2 linked regions of the Astyanax mexicanus genome follow. Each later gene encodes a partner of the first gene's protein in a complex. Links are inferred from orthologs where the notes say so. Each region holds a gene or a part of one and is shown in the gene's direction. Other genes may lie near its edges. The genes, in order: acadm and etfa.

What was found.
Region 2: the proteins of acadm (region 1) and etfa are in contact, whole or in part, in a crystal structure (PDB 2A1T), measured with the Homo sapiens proteins. The link is inferred for Astyanax mexicanus from reciprocal best matches to the Homo sapiens genes ACADM and ETFA. Residues at the interface, in NP_000007.1 of Homo sapiens: Pro163, Lys173, Pro211, Gln232, Arg235, Glu237, Val251, Glu253; in NP_000117.1 of Homo sapiens: Arg223, Lys226, Arg249, Asp253, Ala283, Ile284, Gln285, Glu304.

Annotation. Positions count from the first base shown.
Region 1 is NC_064425.1:41,681,674-41,689,714, forward strand, and holds the start of acadm (medium-chain specific acyl-CoA dehydrogenase, mitochondrial), read left to right. Parts: upstream 1-5,032; 5' UTR 5,033-5,143; coding exon 5,144-5,161; intron 5,162-6,755; coding exon 6,756-6,858; intron 6,859-6,958; coding exon 6,959-7,056; intron 7,057-7,275; coding exon 7,276-7,345; intron 7,346-7,908; coding exon 7,909-8,009; intron 8,010-8,041. Other genes in the region: E3 ubiquitin-protein ligase HECTD3, read right to left, coding at 1-60, 1,500-1,850. UniProt on the Homo sapiens protein: Medium-chain specific acyl-CoA dehydrogenase is one of the acyl-CoA dehydrogenases that catalyze the first step of mitochondrial fatty acid beta-oxidation, an aerobic process breaking down fatty acids into acetyl-CoA and allowing the production of energy from fats.
Region 2 is NC_064409.1:55,938,707-55,946,034, forward strand, and holds the start of etfa (electron transfer flavoprotein subunit alpha, mitochondrial), read left to right. Parts: upstream 1-4,131; 5' UTR 4,132-4,217; coding exon 4,218-4,256; intron 4,257-7,328. UniProt on the Homo sapiens protein: Heterodimeric electron transfer flavoprotein that accepts electrons from several mitochondrial dehydrogenases, including acyl-CoA dehydrogenases, glutaryl-CoA and sarcosine dehydrogenase.

The DNA of each region.
Region 1 (8,041 bases):
ACAGGCCAGAATCCAGCCCTCCTCCAGCTCCACTCCACTGCGGTACTCCTCCAGCTGCTCCTGAGGAACATACAGCAACAAGTGAACGAGAAGAAAACAGCAGAGGAATGAGGAACGTATATTGACTGAGGCTGTATCCCAATCGCAAACAATACACTAGTAATAAGAGGCACAAACTGATAGTAATAGTACAGGTTTGGCAGGTTAGTACATTAAATATCAATGTACCAACCTGGGGTGGGTTTTGAGTACATTTGAATATTGGGTAAATGAAAGTTGAGTAAATAAGAGTTGAGTAAATAAAAGTGGAGTAAATAGAAGTTTTATTAGATTTTGAGGTTTGAGTAAATAAAAAGTTAAGTAAATTAGTGGTGAGTAAATAAGAGTTGAGTAATTAGGAGTTTTGAATAGATTTTGAGGTTTGAGTAAATGAGAAGTTGAGTAAATTAGTTGTGAGTAAATAAGAGATGAGTTAATAGGAGTTGACTAAATAAGAGTACTGAGTAGATTTTGAGGATTGAAAAAATGACAGGGTGAGTTAATGAATGATAAGTAAAGGAAGGTTGAATAAATAAGAGTTTTGAGTTTATTTTGAGAATTGAGTAAATGAGAGTTGAGTAAATGAGAGTTGAGTAAGTAAGAGTTTTGAGTAGATTTTAAGGCTTGAGTACATAAGAATTGAGTAAATGAATGGTGAGTAAATAAGGACTGAGTAAATACGAGTTGAGTAAATAAGTGGTGAGTAAATAAGCACTGAGTAAATGAATGGTGAGTAAATAAAAGTCGAGCAAATAAGGGTTGATTAAGGAGGGAGTAAATGAGTGGTGAGTAAATAAAGTCGAGCAAATAAGGGTTGATTAAGGAGGGAGTAAATGAGTGGTGAGTAAATAAGCACTGAGTAAATGAATGGTGAGTAAATAAAAGTCGAGCAAATAAGGGTTGATTAAGGAGGGAGTAAATGAGTGGTGAGTAAATAAAGTCGAGCAAATAAGGGTTGATTAAGGAGGGAGTAAATGAGTGGTGAGTAAATAAGCACTGAGTAAATGAATGGTGAGTAAATAAAAGTCGAGCAAATAAGGGTTGATTAAGGAGGGAGTAAATGAGTGGTGAGTAAATAAGGACTGAGTAAATAAGAGTTAAGAAAATGAAAGTGGAGTAAATAAGAGTTTTGAGTAGATTTTATTAATTAAGTAAATGAGGGGTGAGTAAATAAAAGTTGAGGAAATAAGAGTTTGGAGTTTATTTTGAGAATTGAGTAAACGAGAGTCGAGTAAGTAAGAGTTTTAAGTAGATTTTAAGGGTTAAGTAAATTAGAATTGAGTAATTGAATGGTGAGTAAATAAGGACTGAGTAAATAAGAGTTGAGAAAATGAAAGTGGAGTAAATAAGAGTTTTGAGTAGATTTTATTGAAGTAAGTGGTGAGTAAATAAGGGTTGATTAAGGATTGAGTAAATGGGTAACTGAGTGGGTTCAGCTGCTGGTTCTGGTGGAGGTTTACCTTGCTGATTTTGACCCACAGGCCGTGGCTGTTGTAGTACTCCTCCCCGGAGGTTCGGATGCAGGTCCCCTTCTTGGGCTCGATGGTGCACCGGGCGGTCTTCCTGGTGGGCGGCTGGTTCGGGTGGTCCCAGACCGGAACCAGGGTCTTTCCTCCAGAGTTTCCAGCTGAAGAGGAGGCAGACGAGGACCCGGAGTTGCTGGACGAGTCCTTACAGATCTTATAGCACACCTCCCGCGGCACGAAGCACAGGCTCTCCGGGAGCGGCTCTCCGGTCCTGAAGCACTCGGTGCAGCGGTTCAGGAAGCGGATCCGCCCCAGCAGAGTGTGCGGGTTCTGCCCGGGAGACATGGCTCTCTCTCCGCTGCTGCTGCGCTTCGCTTTCGCTCCGCCAGCCCGAGTCTGGTAATGTCAACACGGAGTTAGAGATCAGTCAGAAAAGCGCTATTTATCCCTCCTTTCTCCTCTTTTCCTCCCCCTTTCTCTCCCCCGCTCTTCAGCGGGAATTCCAGAAACTTCTACCGAACAGAGGATCAGCGGAACCGCGGAAATCAGCGCTTATTCTCCCCCGGAACCGCGGAACATTCCAGGTAGCAGTTACTAAGCGTTAGCCCCACAGCTAGCATCTGTCACACCGGCTAACGAATCCCGATCCGACTCAGAGTCACCCGCGAATCGGCTTATCTAGACCGAGTCCTTAGAACAGAATCAGTGAGTGAATCGGAGCGATTCAGGTCATTTGTAAAATCAATGTAATTAAATAATCTGAGGAAATCTGTTGCCTTCATTTTTTTTAAAGTAATGTTATTTACAATTTAAACTATATTATAAACTTTAAAAACTATTTTATAAACCTGTAAACAAATTGTAAGTTAATACATATTTAAAGCAATGTAAATTATAATTAGTACTTAATTATAAACTTATTATGAACAATTTGTTAGTACATTTCTTTTTAAATTATAGTTAATTAAAGTAAATGAATGAAATTGATTTGTAATTAGTCAAGTTATTTTATTTAATATAAAAAAAACAAAATATCATTATTGGAATGTATAAAGTACTATAGAGCTAGACTTGAGTGAAAGTACAAGAGCTCTATATTAAAAAAAGTTTCATTGAATGGATAGTTGGTAAAGAATCGGTTCGTTTAACTGAACCCAACTCTTCTTCATTCACTGAAGTGAACCTGTAGGAGGAGCCTGCTACAAACCATTTCGGCCGGCAGGGGGCGCTGTAGGCGCTGGAGTGAGTGTGTGCTGACCTCTGCTGGTCATGTCTGTTACTGCAGCTACACCCCAACCTTACACAGCATATACACACTCGTACTGTACCTAAGGCTATGTTTACATTATCAGGCTGAAGTGACTCGAATCTGATTTTTTTGCTCAGTGTGGCTCAGATATGATTTTTTAATGGCTGTGTGAACGTGCCAAATCAGATTTGTTTTTTTAATCAGATTTGAGTCACTTTCATATGTGGTCCTAAACCGGATACGTATCGGATCCATGGACATGCGACATGAATGTGAACTGTCAATTCGGAATTCATGCATCTTTTTGCTTTATGCATTAGCATTAGCTCTACGTGCCTCTCTCTCGTACCCACACATCTCTTGAGCAGCTGTGCAGCTATAGCTGCAAAAACAGCAAAAGCAAACCACCTGATCTCTTTTTACCTCCTCGACATCAGATCAGCTGTTTACTCTCCACTCCAGCAAAAGATGTTTCACATATGAGCTGCTGACTCATCCATTTCCCTTTATAAAGCTAGGAAGCTCTCTCAAATATGATTTTTTTTTTTGTTGGTGGTGAAGAAGGCGACGTTTAAACAGGTATCAATTTGTGAATGTAAGCCGTTTCAGGGACAGCTTGTTCCCATTACACACAGATACTGATCACTTACATTTGTGAATGTGAACCGTCAGAATAGCCAAATCCGATCTGAGCAAAAGAAATCGGATTTGAGCAATGTGGCTTGTAATGTGAACGCAGCCTAAGACCCCTACATGAAAAACAGTGGGACCCCCCAAACCTACATGGACAGCAACTGATGGACAGGATGAAAAGTCTCATAAAATTAAAGTGAAGTATTTCTTACTTTACTTTGACTTTTATTTTAACCAAAAACAGTTGGGACACTAAAGCATTTACTTTACTTTACCTTGAAATGTTGCCATTTCTTCTCACAACAATTATATGATGTTTTGGCACTAATAACACTTAAAACTTTACTGTACACAACACAAGCCTTATTATGTTCACCATGACCTTTATCACCAACAACAAGCTCTACAATACAGAGTTACTATATTCACTAATACCACAGTGGAAAGTGTATTGTGCTCAAATGAGTCAGAATTGGAGTTTAAAAGGAGCTTCCAGACTGTTCTCAGCAACAAGTCCAAACGTCAGGGTCTGTTATTGCATGAGGGCGTATCAGTACACTTCTGTGATGCAACATTAAAGGTCCATTATTATTATAATATGAGTTAATGCACTTGCAGCTTTTGTCAGCAGAGCTTCACACAGTATTTTCTTATTTGAACTGTGTGGTATGTCACAGTGATCTATGGGGGATACCTCCTGAAACACTTCATCCCTTGCTATCCTTAGTGAATATAGTAACTCAGTAAAGAATATGTAAGAAACACTGCCTTTTTTATTATTTGCTTTTTCCATATGATTCCACAATTATGGATTTGGAGCTGTGAATCTTGAATCTTTATACATGTATAAAATGCTGCTTTACCTTTTTTACTAATGTGAATCACCAATGGTTACAAACATTTGTTGCATTTTTGTCATATTTTCTAAGATAGATGAGAAGATGAAGTGTGATATAAAGCTATCGCTTTCCTTTTTACATGGGAGAAGAACCTTTATTCAATTTTGGAGAGAACTAATGAAGAATCTGTTTCAAAATATCCATGTGTACCCATGAATATTCATAATTTTGAAAACAATTAATTTTATTCATATAAATTTAATGAAATTTTATGATTATGAATTGATGAACTGGTATTTCCTCATTTGTCTATTTATGAATAGTTTCATGGTTACCTGCATGTGTCAGTTGTTATAAAACTTGCCTAACTGCATTTTTGGTATTGTCCTAAAATACACAAGCTATTGTTTGTTGTCTATGGCCTTCCAATCAAAAATGACCCAGTATTATTATTATTAAAAAAGTAAAAGGTAAAAAGTAAAAAATATTTTCTTATATTCTAAAGGTTTACTCGTAAATACTCAATAATGAGCCTCACCCTCAAGCGCAGATATAATAGTCCTGCAGATTTGTCCATGTTAACACATGTAAAATTTCAGCACTATATAAATTATGTTTAATGTTTTAATTTAAATAACCTCTGAATTACACAACTATCAATGTAGGCCAGAATAAAACTGGGGCTAAGGTCACAGGGGGCGGAGCCGGATCAGAGCACGTGATCAAAGCCCCGTATTTGATTGGCTGGAAGTAAAGTAGTCGAAGAGAGCCGACGTCCCGGCACATGATCACGTGACAAACATCCTTGGCTGTGATTGGCTGTCTGCCTGGAGAGTCTTTTTGTAGGGCGAAGAGCACAGGACGCGACTCCCAAGGATCCGGATTTCTTATTACAATATAAACAAATACACAAAAAAATGCTGATTTTCAGAAAGGTAGAGTTTTATATATTTATTTCATTGCTTTTAAACAGATTCTGCAGCCTTTGCTTTGTGGTTAAGCTTAGTATAGTTTCGTTTCTACCGCCTTGTTTTTGCAAGAGTCCGTTCCACCTTAAATAGTGCAGCTGTTCTGGTCGAGTTTGGGGTTTATATTAAGGTGTTTTTGTGTTTAATTCGAATTATTGCAGATTTACGTCTGGTTTGTATTTCGTTATTGTCTTTAAAAATGGCTCACAACGATGAATAAACACATAGGTAGTCATATTACACTGTAAAGCAACATACGCCACAATGTGAGCACTCTATTTAAGGTGGACGGGAGAATGAGAGTAATAATGCTCGGTGTTTTGTTTAAATTGATGCACAGTTATTTATTATCTGTGAGTTATTGTTGTTATTAACCCATGAAAAAAACATAAATATTTCTGAATATGGATGCAAAATTCTAAATGAAATCAGATAAAATCATTGAGCTGCTCATGCACGTTTTTTAATTAATGTGGGCACATGACGGTATGTATTAAGTTAAAGTCCTTAACAACAATTTCAAATATATATATTTTTCAACATTCTGTTCTTCAAATCAGATCAGAACTGGTTACATGTTAAAATGTTTGAAACACAACTGTAGAATCAAAAATATACTTTTTAAAGGAGAGCTTAGTTATATCCTACAGCACTATCCCAACACATCTACATTCTGGAAATAAGGTCAGATAAACAAATACACACCCACACACTGTGCTGTGATGCTCTCAGGATGTTTAGTAGCCATATGTCGCTTAGGAACTTAATGACTCAAAGTGAAGGACAGGGTTAGACCTGTCACAGTAAGAATTTTTGTGTAGAAAAACATGATAAATTATTTACATTTGATGACTTGCACACCTCCGTTCTCCACTACACCGCTCCACACCTCTTTGTTAGAGCTCTGGCATTTAAAAGGAGGCTACTGATAATACAGTGAGGAGCAGCAGCAGGAGCTCCTCAGATAAAGTGCTGTTCTCATTTTTCTTCAGGCAGGACATCACTAGATGAGCTTTTGAATCAAGAGCTGAGCTAAGCTATGGTCACTCCAGTGTGTTAGCTTGTTATGCTAACTGGCTAGCATTAGCTAGTGAGCTGTATGTGCTTCTTTGGCTGTGTTTTTCTTCACAGAGCTGCATGTGAGGGACTGGGTTCTTTATTAGGCTGTAACAGAATTGCAGGATTAGTGTTGTAATAATACAGTCATTGAACTAGGGCTGCAGTGATGATGAGTTGGACTAATTGAAAATGTTAATTGAAAGAAAATAGGATTTTGTTTGAATTTCAGTGTCTACCACACAAATTGCTGTGGACAGAAACACATTGATGATTTGTTTAGGTAAATAATAATCGTTAATTAGTTAATTGATTGCAGAAATAACCTTCAGATTAGTCAGATACCAAAATGATTATTTGCAGACCTATGTTGAACTAAAATATGTTTTCTGGCGAACTCTGTGAGAGGAGTGACTCAATGTCTGAGTTTTTTGCAAACGTGATCTGGAATAAAACTATAGAGTGATTAATATTGAATTTTGTTGTATGTTCTGTGTGTGCGCAGGTTCTGCAGACAGGGGTTCAGACGGGTCTGCGGTTTCAGAGCAGTGGAGCTGCAGCTCGAGCGGCCAGTGCAGCGAAAACGTCACATGGAGGAATCTCCTTCGGTACGTGGACGGACTGCACAGCACGACTGGTCGACCCCTGTGAGTGTCTGTGTTTGGTAAATACAGTAGAATTAATTCTATTTTCTGTGATCATCAACAGAATTAACTGACCAGCAGAAGGAATTCCAGGAAACAGCCAGGAAGTTTGCACGAGAGGAGATCCTGCCGGTCGCTGGGGAGTACGACAAAAGTGGTGAAGTGAGTTTGTGAAATATGATCTTTGATTTTGTTTAGTTCCATTAAATGGGAGATGTAATGAAATGAAACGTTTTGGCCGAAACCAGACAAAATGAAAAAAAAAAATGGCCAAAACCTGAATACTAAATGATTTTCACTATTTTTTTAAGCTGTTTAGCTTTTATTAATATTCAAGTAGTAAATAATTCTGTGTTAATCCTCTCGTCTCCTCTGCTGCAGTATCCGGTTCCGCTAATCAGGAGGGCGTGGGAGCTCGGTCTGATCAACAGTCACATTCCTGAGGACTGCGGTACGTCTGTGTATATTGTAAATATGGTTTCTGTCCACTTTATCAGGCGACACCCTTTTTAACAGGCCTTTGCCTGTATACAGACTACAGGTGTAGATCCTATAAAACCCTTTTAAGCAGATTAAGCAGGTGTAAAAACAGTAATAGTACTCTGGTGTGGAACAAAACCACAGCAAAACTGCCAGAGGAGGAGGTCTTGGTCTGATCCCAAACGAACTCTGGAGAGGTTCGCTTGTGGTGAGAACAGAATCCGGTCTTGATCCGACGCAGCTATCAAATATACTCCTTTTATTTGAGCTAAACTGCTGATAAGGTGCAGTTTAATCTGATATATTAGCCAGATAATGTTAATTACCACAGCTATGAATAAGGACTGTCTTTGCTGCTCCATGCTGTTTACACTCGCAGTCTGTGCTGCATTCACTACTAAGTGCAGAGGCAAATTTTCAGGGTTCTGTATTAAAGCAGCTTCACACTGCACAGATATACCCGCTGGAACACAGAATCTAATAGAGCTCCAGATCAGTTCTGGTTGGTAACTGGTCATATGGTCTCTGTTTCAGGGGGACTGGGTCTGTCCAGTTTCGATGCTTGCCTGATCACAGAGGAGCTGGCCTACGGCTGCACAGGAGTCCAGACGGCTATTGAGGCCAACTCTCTGGGAGTAAGTGTTGAGTGTTTATCTGATCCGAGCTG
Region 2 (7,328 bases), on another chromosome or scaffold:
ATCCACACATGAATTATTTGGACATTAGAAGCGGACCTGTGGGGATTTGTAAAGAAACTGCGTTTGAGTTAAGTTTCCTGATTTATTTGTACGGATTATTTTTTCAAGATGTTTCCAGAACGGGCAGAGGGTCGCTCTTCCTTTAGCGTGCTCTTCAACCTGACCTTTAACACCGACCCTAACTCAGATCAATCCCATCTATAATCTCCACCACAGCGTGTCTCATTACATTAGAGAATATCTTCTTTCTTTTTTTTTTTACACACAAACAAAAAAGATACATACAAAAAATAAAATAAAATTTTGTCGCCTAAAAAATGATTTTATGCATTCTTACAATAAAATAAAAAGTCTTCTAACAAAGCAAATGTGCTGCAAATGGTTTGATTTGATACATGCTATAGAATAATCACTTTTGGCTCAATAATGAACCATGCTTGTAAAAGTTAAGTTTAAAAAAGCTTTTAAATCGTAAAGAACCATTACGAGCCATATTTTTTTTTGAAATATGTATTTTTTAAGATGATCTATCTGTCTGTCTATCTATCTATCTATCTATCTATCTATCTATCTATCTATCTATCTATCTATCTATCTATCTATCTATCTATCTATCTTGTATGTTCTATAGTCAATAATATTTAGAGACGCTGCAAAACACTAAGCTTAAAAGACAAAAACTTTAAATGTTGAACTAAAAACGTACAGATCTTTTATTTTATTTTTTCGTCAACAATCAGAAGAGAAAAGACCCAAAAATACAAAATATTAAAAAAATTGAAACTACTCCTTTACAAATGATAAAAAAGAGGCAAACCAGCGAGGGAACGAAAACGGAATGTTACTCTTAACAAATCTCTTCTGAAAGTGGAGGACAAGACCACTGCCGCGTATGGGTGTGAGCATGAGTGAGTGAGTGAGAGAGGGAGGAACAGAGGGTGGGAGAGAGATGTCTTTTAAAACAAGCCTAACTCACCCCGCCCTCTCAAATCCAATCAAAGCCGCTCAGATCTCCAGCACTCTCACCTCTAATGTTTCTGAAGACTGAGCTTATAGTGTGACTCTGTACTGAACCGCGAAACAAGCTCAGCCCACAACAACCTGAGATCAAAACAACCTTTTACAATCAGGCTCTTCAATTATTCACTTTCACGCTTCTCCGTTTGAAATAGTATATGATGTTGTGTATAATTAGTTAATATGAATGTATATAATGTAATGTAATATAAATCAGAGGAAATCAATAGCAGAGGAAATGGGCTTGCCATGAAAAAGAAAAGTAACTAAATCGTTTTGAACATTTGCATTAAAATAAAAAAAAAAAACGTGGAATTTAGGTAGAGAGTCAGAAAAACACTCCTGAGATATTCCCTGTCATGTAAGGGGTATATTTCTAAAAAAATATATATAAAAATAAAAGGAATTTATTTCCTTTTGCTAAAAGACCTACAGCTATTTAGAGTACAACTACCAAACAGTCTCCCAATCTCTCTTTATATCTAAGAATTATACAGACTGTTTTTTATGAGCTCTGTTTTGATTTGCTATATTTAAAAAGTGAAACAAAACAGTCTGGTCTAAAAGTAAAAGGCAGTTGCAATCTTGTGGAAAAAATTACATATTTTGATTTTTTGTATTTAACATAGGAAAAATAAATGTATGCAATTTATTTTTCTTATTGTACATGTTAAATTGTGCTACTAAACAACAGTTATGCTTAAGCCAGAACTGTGTTCATGGCTGTAGGCTTATTTAGAATTTAAAGAAATATATAAATAGTACCAGTCAACTTGTACACATCCTCATTCAATGTATTTTCTATATTATAGATTCTTATTAAAATATTGAAAACAATAAAGGGACACATATGGAATTACTTTGAAAACAAAAAAGTGTTTGTCCTCCACAATCCTCTGACCTAAACCCCACTGAGATGGGTGATTTGAGGTGATTTGTGATGAGCTGGAATTTCACAGCGTGAAGGAAATGCTGCAACTATTGTTCAGCACCTCCAGGAATTCCTTTAAGATGCTGAGAAAACTATTCCAGGTGACTCTACATCACGAAGACACAGATTAACCACACTGTAAAAAGTGTAGCCCTGCTCAAATTAAAAAAATTGATGTCCATTTGTTGCATCTAAACTATTTGACTTCACTCAATCTAAATAAAGTCAATTGTTACAACCTGATTATTTTATTTTGACATAAACCATATTACTTCACTCGACCCAATATTAATTATTCACCTTGATCCAAGTTAAATTCTTTACATTTCAGTTTCGGAACCAAACTAATACATTTAAATTGATCCGAACTTTTAAAAAAAACATGGCAGCATATTCAGAAGTTCCAGAAGTTACTGTGGCGTGGAAGAGGACGGCTTACCAGCGAGATTCGTTTCAGTGCTCTCTTGCTCTTTTTATTTTGCTCTGAGGAGGACACTAAGAGCTGGATTTACATGGGATTCCACTTTTGAAAGTGAAACTAACTACAGCTCCAACGCAGCTAACCCCACTCCCACACACAGAAAACACACAAAGGGTGAGGCACTTACACAAAACAACCACATAACTGATAACTACATGAATAATACTAGAACAGTGATAATAAAACATGACATGAAACTCTGGGATAAACAGTAACATAAACACGCAGAAAAACACCCACTCCCCCCAACAGGGTGAGCTCCCATAATTCCTTCCGCCCCCCCTCCAGTCCCGACGCCACAATACCATAAGCATGCGTTGCTATCTCGCGAGCGCGTTCAGGCACTTTCTCCCTCTCTCATTCTCTCTCTCGCGAGCGCGTTCAGGCACTTTCTCCCTCTCTCATTCTCTCTCTCGCGAGCGCGTTCAGGCACTTTCTCCCTCTCTCATTCTCTCTCTCGCGAGCGCGTTCAGGCACTTTCTCCCTCTCTCCCTCAGTGCTCTGAAGCACTTCTCTACAACTTCTCCCGTGCTCCACAGTGCGCATGCGCAATTCATGTTTGATTCAAATTAAAAATATTACATCCTTATCTCTTTTCTTCGAGTATGATTTCAGTGGAACCAAAACATTTGGTTTATTTCCTTCAGAATTGTAATTAATTTAGTCTGAATCAAAATTGACACATCAAAATTCAAAAAGGTTGAGTTTCACAATAAAGTCAATAATTGTACTATGTGTTCAATCATATTTATTAGCTTGAATGAACAGCTCCATGCTTCACTTTTTACAGTGCAAGAGTGTTCAGATCGGTCCTCAAAAATCTAAAGTATAAAACATATTCTGTATTATTTAACTCTTTTTGTTTACAAAATAATTCCGATGGTGTTCCTGTGTAGCTTGAAATTTTACAAAATCATAAAAAAGAAGTGTGTCCAAACCTTTAACTGGTACTGTTGTAAAAACGTATATATAAAAAGAGGTGCACAACTGACTTTACATGAGAAAAATAAGTGGGTAGTTGAACATTATTTATTATTATTATTAATAATAATAATAATAATAATAATAATAATAATAATAATAATAATAAGAAGAAGAAACAAGAAGAACAATAAGAAAAAAAGAAGAAAAATCTTTTTTCCTCACATATCGCACACTGTTGAAAGGTAAGTCACAATCTTATAAATACTGTAACAGTGTTTACATACTACATTATTATTTAATAAAGATAAGCTATTCACCGTTCTATTAATATTATTTATTAAGTAAGCACACTTGACAGAACCATTAAATAAAATCACAAAAAAAGTATTCGATGAAACTTAATTAAAACATGTTAGCTACATTTCAAAAAGGCGAAAGTTTAGGCATAGACCCTAAGCTAAGAGAAAACGTGTCTTTGTCTAATCAAGGAGAAATCATACATTAAAAACGCTTCTCATGTTAAATGCAGGTATAAATGAAAGAAAACGTGACTGCAGTAAGGAGCTGGTGAACTGTTCTGTAGAGCATTGAACTGATCACTTTATCGATTTACTGCAGTTATTCAGTAATTCGCTGGAACTAAATCCCCCGCTGGATGGAAACCTGCTCCGCGGTCTTCAGCTGATCCTCACTGAACTCGTACAGCGGCGGCAGCAGCACTGAGCTCGGGTGGGCGGTCCTCTCCGGCGGATATGAGGTGCGGCCGGGTCTCGGAGCTCAGAGTTAACTCTCGCGATATCGCGGCCCTGTGAGCTCTGCGGTTCAGTCCTGCAGTAGAGTGGAGGAGCTGCTGCTGCTGTAATCATGCTCAAAGCTGTCAACAAGACAAACCTCAGGACTCTGGTAAGAATTAAACACTCTGTACAAAGAGTAGAGTGGTCGCTCAAGTCGCTTTGCGTTAATTTGGAGGAAGACATGCATAAATACAAAGAATTATGTAGATTAATATAAAGCTAACGTAGCTCACTAGCTCACTAGAGGTGAGTAACCAAGGTCCAAAAAGTAAAAATCCACCCCAGGCTTTTGTACCAACTGCGTGCGTGGCTCTGCTGCAGCTCAGCTTCTTTATCAAAACGTTGGTAGAGAGTTACCAAGAGAGTTGGTAAGAAACCCTGGGATGGATTTGATTTTCTGGACCTGGGTTACCCACCTTTACTCTGGACCTGCATTTGTCTAACTTAACTAGCCCGCTAGCTACTAACTGTAAAAGTGTAACCAACCAGTTTCTTTAACTTCTGTCCTCTGCAGAGGTGAGCTAGCTAGCGTTAGCTAGTTTCGTTCTTCTACGTTAGCTAGGTTAGCTAACTGGCTAACAGGCTGGCTGGTTTTTAGGCTAAATTAGCTGAGTTAGCCGTTAGCCTCGTTTCAAGGTTATGCAGTTGACAGATTTTACGTTACGAAATCTCACACTGACGCTGTTAGATAATTAGAAGTATTTTGAAGTTTCTTTAATTATAATTAAGGCCTACCTGTCCATATGTGACTGTTCTTAGCTCGTTTTGTCATCGTGTGTCTAAGGACAAATCTGTGTTTGTTGTTTTGAAACGAGGTAACGTCAAGTCAAGGCAAGTAGTTTTATTGTCAACACTGCATATTTACTTAAAGGATATAGAGAGGATTGATTAGGATTCTCTCCTCCCTGAAGTTACAGCAAGTACAGCAAAATAAGATGATTATAAATATAAAAGAAACACTACGTGTACAATACAACAAGAAAAAAAAAATCACGGACATTTAAATCACTGTTTTTATTAAGTGTAACTTAGTGAACTGGTGACACAGGGCTTCTGCTTTTAACAAGCAAGAGAGGTTTCTAAATTAATTGTGAAATTGAAAGTGTGAATGATAATTCAACAAAACTGGTGAAACCAGGGCAAAGGTTAAGGGTTCTTCTAAGGTGCAGCTACTCAAAATTCAGTTTTAAGATCTGTCAGCACAACTTTTGGTTCCTTATCTTATCACTATCAAAATGCTTTTTTTCTTAAAATGTTATCGTTAAAATTATTGGATGTTTTTTTATTTTATTTTAGCGTTTCTATTGACCCATTCCATATGCTTTTGTTGCAGTGTGAACTGACATATTTAAATTCTGTTACATTTTTATTAAGTAAAAGTATATGCCAGAAATTACTATACAGTGTTTATTGACATGACTAGATATACAGTTACATGTAGAGGCAGATAATGTTCACTGTTTACAGCCTTTCCAATAATATCATGGTAATTACATTACATTATAAACTTTTAGATAAGCTAGCTAGTAATAGTTGTGCAACTTTCCAGCCTCACCCTCATACCTAATTCTTTGTTTGTTTAGCTTGCACATTCCCAAACTATTGAACTGTACCTGTCTGAACTGCTGATAGATCTAGAAGCAGACAGATGTGCTATCTAATCAAATATTCTGCTGGAGTTATCTGTGTTTATTTCTGAAAATGTGTTTACCATCATTGGAGCTGTTTATTGGCAAGAATCTGGTGCATATCATGATGGAGGTGTTATGATATTTATAATGAGAATTTTTTAATCAAATTTCTGAAAACAACCCCAGTTTTTGTTGTATGACCAAAATATGCTTTACAGTATTTCTTTAAGACTTAGGCAGTTTAGCTGCATTTTTATTGATGTATTTATTGCATTGTATTGGTTAAAGTTCTCATTCCATTGTTTTTTTCATTCGTTTTAAAATGTCTAGTTGCGGTCTCTAGTATGAATGAATGCTATGTGAGCCAATTTTTTTGTGAAAAAAGTGCTCAGGTCAACTGTGGCTTATTTCACTAATACATGACCTTTTGTTAATAAAAAATAAGCAATAATGAACAATAAAAAATATATAATTTAATAATATTTTCAGACATTAGAAATGAATTATAAAAAGGTTAAAATACAATTAATGAAAGAAGATTAATACAATAGTGTTATGCTGGTCTGATGTTAAAATATTAAGTCACATTAATAGTCTCTCCCTGCTAAAAAAAAATAAATGAATAAAAAATAATGGGTAAAATTGAGATGAGCAAAAATGCTTGTAAAAATAATCTTGTTGGTTAGTTGTTGGTAGTTATTGTGACAAGCCAAGGTGAATGCTTTATTTCAGTGCAAGCAAAAACAGCCATGTCAGCATGTATGTGCAAGTCTAGCAACACATTAGAGCTAAACATTTGTGGTGTTGGTAATGTACCTAAATTCTGTGGTGATGAACATTTTCTGCAATTTTTATTTGCACAATTTAATTTAAATTTAAAGTATGTAAAACTTTTTAGGTAATCATAACAGTGGCATCTAAAGACTGAGTACAACGCGGCTATCTAGTGGTCGGGGTTTAAACACAACACTAAATAAACCATTGCATGCCTCCAGTCTTTGCTTGTAAACTATTAATTAAATATCCATATTAGGCCTGGACAATAATTCGATATCGGTATTTATCGCGATAAGAAATGTTTCAATAACGGTGATATCAGTTATCAGATATCTCGCCGCAGAGCTCAACACATTCAGCCCCCGTAGCTGGGCTACGTCAGTGCGTGATGACGTAACCACACAGGCACGTAGCCAAATAGGCTAGGCTAGGCAAGGCTAGGTTAAAATGGCTAGGCTCGGGTCCGCTTCGCTACGCAGCACATATGTCTCGCGCTGGAGCCAAACGGAGCCGGGACGAGCGGATCCAAGGCTAAGGTAGACTCGATTCGGTCGGCCCCGGAACCTCGAGGCCGGCCGCGGGTACTCGAGGCCGGCCGCGGGAACGCTCGCGGGTCCGCTCGCTCGGCCGCGGGTCCTCGAGACCGGCCGCGGGTCCGCTCCCTTGCCGCTTTGCTGCAAATTGTGCCGGAGAGTGCAGCCGACCAGCAGCGGTAATGTTAATACATCTAATCTGTTCCACCACTTCAAGCAACTCCACTACATACAATATTT